Linked DNA regions of Rattus norvegicus. The protein of the gene in region 1 interacts with the protein of each later gene in a biochemical or structural test. Links are inferred from orthologs where the notes say so. Each region holds a gene or a part of one and is shown on either strand. Other genes may lie near its edges.

Evidence for each region.
Region 2: the proteins of Tln1 (region 1) and Itgb3 form a complex in vitro, tested with the Homo sapiens proteins (6 studies listed by BioGRID and IntAct, with this or other methods). The link is inferred for Rattus norvegicus from reciprocal best matches to the Homo sapiens genes TLN1 and ITGB3.

Annotation. Positions count from the first base shown.
Region 1 is NC_086023.1:62,607,034-62,610,840, reverse strand, and holds part of Tln1 (talin-1), read left to right. Parts: intron 1-1,643; exon of another isoform or gene 1,644-2,994; 5' UTR 2,995-3,027; coding exon 3,028-3,157; exon of another isoform or gene 3,158-3,351; coding exon 3,352-3,449; exon of another isoform or gene 3,450-3,807. UniProt on the Homo sapiens protein: High molecular weight cytoskeletal protein concentrated at regions of cell-matrix and cell-cell contacts. Involved in connections of major cytoskeletal structures to the plasma membrane.
Region 2 is NC_086028.1:90,008,286-90,012,791, forward strand, and holds the start of Itgb3 (integrin beta-3 precursor), read left to right. Parts: upstream 1-1,641; 5' UTR 1,642-1,651; coding exon 1,652-1,727; intron 1,728-2,178; exon of another isoform or gene 2,179-2,212; intron 2,213-4,506. UniProt on the Homo sapiens protein: Integrin alpha-V/beta-3 (ITGAV:ITGB3) is a receptor for cytotactin, fibronectin, laminin, matrix metalloproteinase-2, osteopontin, osteomodulin, prothrombin, thrombospondin, vitronectin and von Willebrand factor.

The DNA.
Region 1 (3,807 bases):
TCCGTCTTAACCCTGACTTCCCCACCGCTGCTCCCTTGCAGGTGCCCCGTTCTTCAGCCAGCTTGCCTACTCACTTTCCTGGGCGCTCCTCCACGATTTCCTGCCTCTCCACCTTTGCTAATGCTATTCTCTGTGCCTGGGACGATACCTTTGACTCATCTTCGACTGACCTAATGGAGAGAGCTGGGGCTCTGGAGGCAGAGAGACCTGGGTTTGGATTTTGGCTTCACCCTTATTACTTGGACAAGTACTTTGGAAAAGCATTTAACATTCTGGAGCCTCCCTCGGTTTCCTAATCTGTAAAAACGGAGATAATGACACCTACCTTGCAGGGTTGTTGTAAGGGTTAACTGAAATTATGTGTATACTGCAATTAACGTATAGTCAATAAATGACACATCGCTGTTACTTCTTACTATCTTCATGTTCTTAAAATTCTAACTTCAAATGATAGCTTTCATGGATCCTTCACTCCCCCTTCCCTAGCCTACGGATCCCTTTTCCGAATGTACACATTTTGGCTCCTTTAACAGCCTGCCTTCTCAGTAGCTCTGTATTTAGCTTTTCCACCCACCTGGAAGGCTGGCAACCTACAGAAAGCAGAGTCTAGATCTTACTCATCTCAACGAGCTTCCTGGCCACTGAAAGTTTGGCCTCGGGCCTTCCCACCGTGGGCCGTGCAGAATGCATGGGGGAAAAGGCACATAATGGAAGGCAAGACACTGGGAGCTGGGCAGTGGGCCTGGTGCACTGGTGGGGAAACTGTGTGTGCATGTGCTACCTACAAAAAGATAGATCTTTGTAGGGGCTGTGAAACCAGACAAGATCCGTGTAGACTGCACAGGCAGTTTGTGGGAAGGAGTCAGTCCTGTGTATAAGCTGAGGGGCCTTGGCGAGAATGAGAATGCATGTGTGGATATGAACACAGACCCTGTGTTGAAGGAAGTCAGACCCAGCCCTTCAGCTGCCCGGTCCAGCCCAAAATGAGCCTCCAGCAGCCTGGGGCCGGATATGTCAGTCTCACCCACAAGCTCCTCCCCCCTCCCCTCCCCTCCCGGCGGTTGAGGACTCAGAGGCCAAATTTGGTAACAGACTGAGTGTTATTCCCCCAACCCTCTTACATTCTGACTCTGTCTTCAGCTTTCTCTCTCCCTTTGTCCCCTGTAACTCCCTATCTTTCTGTAGAACCCCTTGTAGGTACCTACACTAGTGATATTCTCCATGTACCCCAAAATTCCTTAGCCCTAGTATACTTGCATTCCATTCCTTGCTGGGATTTGACCTCCTGTCCTCCACACCCCCCTCCAATTGCCCAACGCGTCTGGAATGCATCTGAGGAATGTATTGAGGGGAGGAGTCTCTGGGAAGGGGGACATGAGGAGGGTGTTGTTGCTCTTGATAAAACATGATAGAGAGGGATCAGGGCTCTCAGATCCAGACAGGAAGCAGGTACTTTCTACTCCTAGTCCCAGGGTTCTTGTTCTTTGCCACTGCTGGTCCCAACTCAATGTCCAATTCCTTGACTTCCTTCACACTCAATTAGTTGTATAGATAGCTACTCAGCCTGGAGGAGGACAGGCATGACTCAACTCTCTTATCGGGACCTTACCAGAGGAAGAAGTGGGTATCCATATGTCCGGAGGAAATGGGGGCGGAGGGGCACACATGCACTTTCAGCTTAGGCTGAAGTCCTTCAGTCCTGCTCTGGTTCCTTGGACTCTGCTTCTCTGACCAGCCCTCACTCTCCACAGCCAGGTCTGTCCCACTGCTGGAAAGGTTCCCCTAGGAGCAAGGAGAGGGCAGAGAGGCTGAGGAGGTTGGGAGGTGCTTTCATTGGGGTAAAGATGGAGTGCAGGCTATGCTGCTTTTCTTTGTAATCCTGAACTGTGTATGTGGTCAGGAATGTCCTCCTAGTCAGTGACCCTGGTGTTTCCTACATCTGGATCTGGTTTCTCTTAAGGCTGTCAACTCTCCCACTCCACCTTTCCTAGTGTCTTTTTCCTCTGCCCCGCCCCTCCTAATGTACCTGATTCTGTATTGTGGTACCTGCCTGCTTCCTAGTCTTTCCCTTAGTCCTGCTTTCCCCCTTGGACTAGCCGTTTGTCAGGTGAGGAGTGGGGAGGCCACATTCCCTCCTTTTTTAGTTAAGAGGCACCTAGTCCCATTGCACACTGGGTCAAGCATCAGGGCAGACCTGTCATCTTGGGGCTGCGTGCCACCTGCTGCTCATGGTGCTGAAAGGTAGAGGGAATTTGGCCTTGCAAACACTGAGCTGCGCTGAAAGCATCACCTGGGTTCCTAGTTAAGATGGTGACAGTGTGATGGAGAAGAGTACAAGAGACTGCGGTAAGGCTTGAGTCTCAGTGTCTGGGCTGTTGGCCCTGAAACTTTCTCCTCTCCAAGAAGTATTGACTAGGTCATTTCCGAGGTCTCTGGACAGAGAGTCATAATTGTACCGTGATTCAGGTTGGAAGAAAGCAGGGATACAAGTAGGTCTCCCTGGCATGCTGCCACAGGAAGTTTGCAGGACTCAGGAGCCCCCGGGATGCTGCACTTTGCCAAGAAGAAGGCGAACCTGTAAGAGGGAAGGCCACATGAGGTCAGCGTCGCGCTCTGAAATCCCTGAAATCCCAGGGCAGGGAAAAGGAAAAAACTGACCCTGGAAAAGGAAAAGACAAGGCAGAGGCGGGTTGGGGAAAGACGTGAACAGAAACAAGAGGCCGAGGAAGGCACTTGGAACCAGAGAGGCACGAATTCCAGTGGTGCAGGCAGGACAGTGTCCTCAGCTGACACTGCATCTCAGGCCTGCTATTGTCTCTATAGAGACCGACCAGCTTCTCTCTGGGATGTCTTAAGTGGTCTTCACCTTTTGAAATTCATAGGACAAAAGAACTTACTATTGTTTTCTGTCATGGTGATTCCCTTAAAAGTCTCTCTGGGACTCTGAGTCACTCCACTGAGGGTGTGTTCTAATGCTCTGGTGCTGCTGGCCAGGTATCGCCAGGCCGAAGAGCAGAAGCTGCCACCATGGTTGCGCTTTCGCTGAGGATCAGCATTGGGAACGTGGTGAAGACGATGCAGTTTGAGCCGTCTACCATGGTGTACGATGCCTGCCGCATGATTCGTGAGCGGATCCCAGAGGCCCTGGCTGGCCCTCGTGAGTCTGACTACTGAGGTGGTGGGGGCAGGAATCCTTCATCCCTTACTCTCTTGGTCTTGAGCAGTGTCCCCATTGTGTTCTAAGTTCCTCACCCCTCAGACCTGTGCTCCAAGATCATGGGAGAGAGAGGTCTGGCTGTTTGGCCACAGTGAAGTTTTTGTAAGTCTAAGGTGATCTACCATCTCTTTTAGCCAGCGACTTTGGGCTATTTCTGTCAGATGATGACCCCAAAAAAGGTATCTGGCTCGAGGCTGGGAAAGCTCTGGACTACTACATGCTCCGAAATGGGGTGAGTAACTCCATCATCATTGGCCACCCACGTGCTCTCTACCTGCTGTCTCACTTGTTCCCAGCACCCATGTTGTGTCTGCTCCTCCTCTCTCTTCCTTCCTCAAACCAGCTCCTTCCCTGAACCCTGGGCTTTTCACATACCAGCTCCTTCCCTGAACCCTGGGCTTTTCACATACCAGCTCCTTCCCTGAACCCTGGGCTTTTCACATACCAGCTCCTTCCCTGAACCCTGGGCTTTTCACATACCAGCTCCTTCCCTGAACCCTGGGCTTTTCACATACCGGGCCAGCACATGTGGCTTTCTGACACAGGCAGTCAAAATGGCCTCCTTTTGGAGTAGTCTTCCACTTAGTAAT
Region 2 (4,506 bases), on another chromosome or scaffold:
TCTGTCTCCCCACTTCTTCCCCATTGCACTGGGGTTACAGGGCAGCATATGCCCATGCTTAGATTTTTATGTGGTTGCTGGGGATTTGAACCCAGGCCCGCATGTTGGTCCAGCAAGCACTCTTACCCACTGCCACATCTCCCTAGCCTCACCATTACTATTAGTTTGTTTGGGATGCTTTCCTGTTATGTAGCCTAGGGTGTATTCAAACTTGCCATCCTTCTGCCTTACCCTAGTACTGGGTCTGCGGCATGCTCTGCTGTGAGTCACTGGGTAGAGTAATAAAACGCTAGGTCATAGTTCCGTAGAAAACACACTTGTCTCCATGAATTTATACAGTTATAAAGTTCATACCTGTGACATGGAATGATATAGTGTCCTGGTGTGTGAGAGGTCCGAGGAAGAAGAGTCCACCTCTGCAGACGACAAGGCTGGACGAGGAGGAACATTAGACAAGATGGCACGGAACAGATGACATTTGAGATGTTTTGAAAAGTAAGTGGAATTTTCCAAACGGAAAGAGGAAGGAAGGCCAGTCAGATGGGAAGGCATGGAACATTTAGGAGTGACAAGAATCTCTTGGGGAAAGGCTAGGTGATGGATCATGGCTAGGTGTCAGGTCTCTCTTCTTCCCACACGCTTCCTCCATGGTCTCTTATAGCTCAGGCTGGTTTTGAACTCCCTGTGTACTCAAGAACTATCTGGAACTTCTGGTCCTCCTGCCTCCTCAGCGCTGGAATTCTGGGCATCACATTCTGTTTGATGTGGTGCTGGGGATGGAGTCCAACGCATGCTAGGCAAGTGCCTTCCGATTGCACCACATCACCATCCCTACTTCTATTTTTTTTTTTAAACAACACTACCATTCTTACGTCAGGACTCACAGGTCCAGCCACTTCCTGTGGCCACCTCTTCAGCTCCAGCACTTGGCACCTTTCACACTTCTAAAGGTTTCCTATCTGGTGGGGAAGACCCAAGGAACTAGTGTAGGGATAGGAACAACAGCCAAGCAGTCTCTGAGGAAAATACCACAGAGCTAGTGAATTAGAGTTTGGAGGCAATACAGTGACTGTTCTGAAGTAGTTATCAGACACCAGCAACATGCAAGCAAGCATTTATAGACAGAGGCTCTGCACGGATCCATCTTTCCTAACACGCTTGCAGGCTGCATGGAAAGCATTTGACAGCTGCCTGTGATCTCATTGAGTGACTGAGGGAAAGAACGAAAACTGGAGGAAAGCAAAGAGAAATAGCAGTGTTGATGTCTCTGCGGAGGTGGGACTAACAGAGTTCAGGAAGTGGCCCAAGGCTACTATTTTTTTTTTTTTTTAAATCAAGCATCCAGGTGCAGACACCTGGGACCCAGATGCACACAGGACGCCAGGAGCGCGATGTCCTCTAGCGAACGCAGGCGAATCCTAGTGGGCGGAGGGCTGGGGAAGATTTCTGGAGAGAGGCGCGATGAATTTCCCCATCACACTCGCAGCCTCAGGCAGGGTCCAGGCGGACGCCGGAGGGAGGGAACTTTAGCTCTCGGCCCGCCCCGCTGTGTCCCACCCACCGCGTCCCCTCCCCTCCCGGGGCAGGAAAAGCAGCCGCGGGCGCCAGCTCGCCGTGGCGCGCGCGCGCGGCGCGAAGGGCGGTGGACAGGATGCGAACGCGGCGGCCGGGACAGCTCTGGGCCACTCTGCTGGCGCTGGGGGCGCTGGCGGGCGTTGTCGTCGGAGGTGAGCGCGCGGCGGGTGTGGGAACTGCGGTGGGATCGTGGGAGCTGGGGCTGAGAAGCTGGTCCTTCCTCCGGTAGCCTCGAGGGCGCATCAACGGTGGCAGAGACCCTGGCCTGGCCCGGGGAGCAGGGGCAAGATGGGGCTCTGCTGGGTCGTCCGGGTGCGCCGGCAGAAGGATGCTGCTCACCTGCTTGGGTGGGTGTGTGCGCTCTGGGTTGCCCCTTCCACCTCCCCCGAGTTTGTTCCTCTGGCTGCTCCTCTGTTAAGGAGGTACAAGATTCGGGCTCCATTCGTTCTGGGACCGACCTCTCAACCAGCGCTCCCTGACTGTGTGCAGGGAGTCAGCACAGAGGTCCTCGGGGCTGGCTTTGTCTTTTCCTGCGTGTGACCCACACCATCAGCTGCCTGAATCTTCAACTTTCAGGCTCATTAATGCTGCGGGGAACGGGAGTGATGCAGTCCGCAGAGTCCTACGGGAGCTGGAGGTGATGTTGCCTGGGGTGGAGAAACTGAGGTTCCAGGTCAGCTGGAGCAAGTTAAACCCTGCAGATGGTGTGTGTGTGTGTGTGTGTGTGTGTGTGTGTGTGTGTGTGTGTGTGTGTACACGTGTGTAATACGGTCTCATATATTTCAGGATCCTTCACACTCTGTGTAGTCGAGGGTGACCCTGAACTTTAGACTCCCCTGTGCCCCTCCTATTGAGTGCTAGGATTATAGATCTGTAACACCTCTCAGGGCATATAATGCTGCAGGGAGTTGAACCCAGGGCCTCCTTATGCCAGGCAAGCACTCTGTTAATTGAGCTACATCTCCAGACTGACTATTTGTTAAAGGTAAACTTTATTACGTTGCCTTTGGGGTTAAGCAATCTAAAAAAAAAAACAAAACAAAAAAACAACAACAACAAAAAAAAACCATTTGGGTGGCTACCTTGAAGACCCCTTTCTGATGGTACGGATGGACGTAGACATGGGACAGGGGCAGGGGTTTCAGAACTGATGGTTGGCCTGTGTTGTTGAAGCTTCCAAGTGAAAGATGAAAACCGCGGTCTTTAGCCTACATTGAACAAGCTTCGTGATCACAGAACGGGAACCGGGATCTCCAGCATTCTGCCCTGGAGATATTAGAGTTTCTTTTTGTCAGCTCCTTGTAGCTGTTGATGGGGAATGGGGAAATCCACCAGGAAAGCTGATGTTTCTAACAGATAGGCAAACTTTTATGAACTTAAAGCCTTTAAAAAATTTTTACTTCTCAAGTTTTAATTGGCATGCAATGACAGGCTTTGCTTGTGTACAGCAGGAAAGTGTGTTTGCAGACAACAGATACACTGTACAAAAGGTAGCTAGTCTTTTTTGTGTTAGGCAACTTCCAGTTCTTCACGGCTATTTTGAGATTATATTTGAAACATTTTGTAGTTTGTTTGTATCTCTAACTTTCAAATTTCTGAGTGTCGTCGTTGTCATTGTCATCGTTGTCATTGTCATCGCCATCGTTGTCATCATCATCATTATCATCATCATCATCATCATCTGTAGTTCGAGAAGAAAGTTATAGCACAGTGCACGGTTCAGCTCCAGTGAAGATGAAGTGTATCTGTTATTTCGGTCTCTCACTCTCTTCCCACCTCTCCTGAACCCCTCATTGGTTTGCAGTGCTCCTTATAGGATCACACTACCCTGCTATTCCTAAGCTTGGGTTTAAAGATCCTTTAGTCCTAGGTTGGGAAAGTAGGAGAACTTGAATTCTGTCCCTAGAACCTATTAAAAAAGCCTGATGTAGTGGTGTGCTTGTAATTCCAGTGCCCGGGGAAGACAGAGACAGATGGATCCTTGGGGCTCACACGTTAGCTAGCCTGGCCTACTTGGAAAGCTCAGGATAGAAAGAGATCCTGTTTCAAATTAAGTGATACTTCTGAGGAATGACACTCAGGGTTGTCTTTTGTCTCTGCCCAGGGACAATTGTGCATGAGCATGTATGTACTTGTGCATGCATGTACACAATCGTATACACACCAAAACCAACAAACAACGAAACCTATAGGATATCAGAGTCGTTGTGATTGGAATAATCTAAAGAGGTGATGGCTTGTGGTAAGCTAGCCCCAGACTCCCTCTGAGAGGGTGTAGAGTCCTGCTGAGGAACCGAGGATTTTAGAGCACCCTGTAAAAGAAGTGTCTGTCATACAAGCCGTCTCAGTGTTGGTGGCAGAGTTGCAAACATCACTAGGTCCCTGGGGAAGCAGGTGATGTGGTGACTTTGGGGACACACAGTGTGGAAGGGACACAGAACAGGGTGGAAGTGAGGTGCCACAGGAGGGCTGTCCCAGTAGGAGATTCTGCCCCGAGGAGACTGACTTTCAGTTTCTATGTACAAAAGTAATCTTTTTAGCTTCATCTGAATACTTTGTTTCCAGGCTTCTTGGTAGTGTATTCTCACCTAATTAGGTCAGCAATAATGAGGTGCTTAGTTCCCTTCTCCAGTCTGTATTCTGGGAGCTGTCCAACTAAGGCCCTCAGGATACCTCAGAGACACGAGGAAAGGCTTTTTGCTGGGGAAAGGGGCAGCTGGGATTTAAGCAAGTGGGATGTAGGTTTGATCCTCGGCTTTGCCCCTGATTGACCGTGTGATCTCGTCAATCTTAGTCCAGTTTCCTCACCTGTAAAGTGGAAACAGTGCCTTTCGTTTGCAGACTAAATGAGACACAGGCTCAAATGAAGTAAATGTTCGATGCATGGCGGCTCCTGTGTTCCATGCATGGCGGCTCCTGTGTTCCATGCAT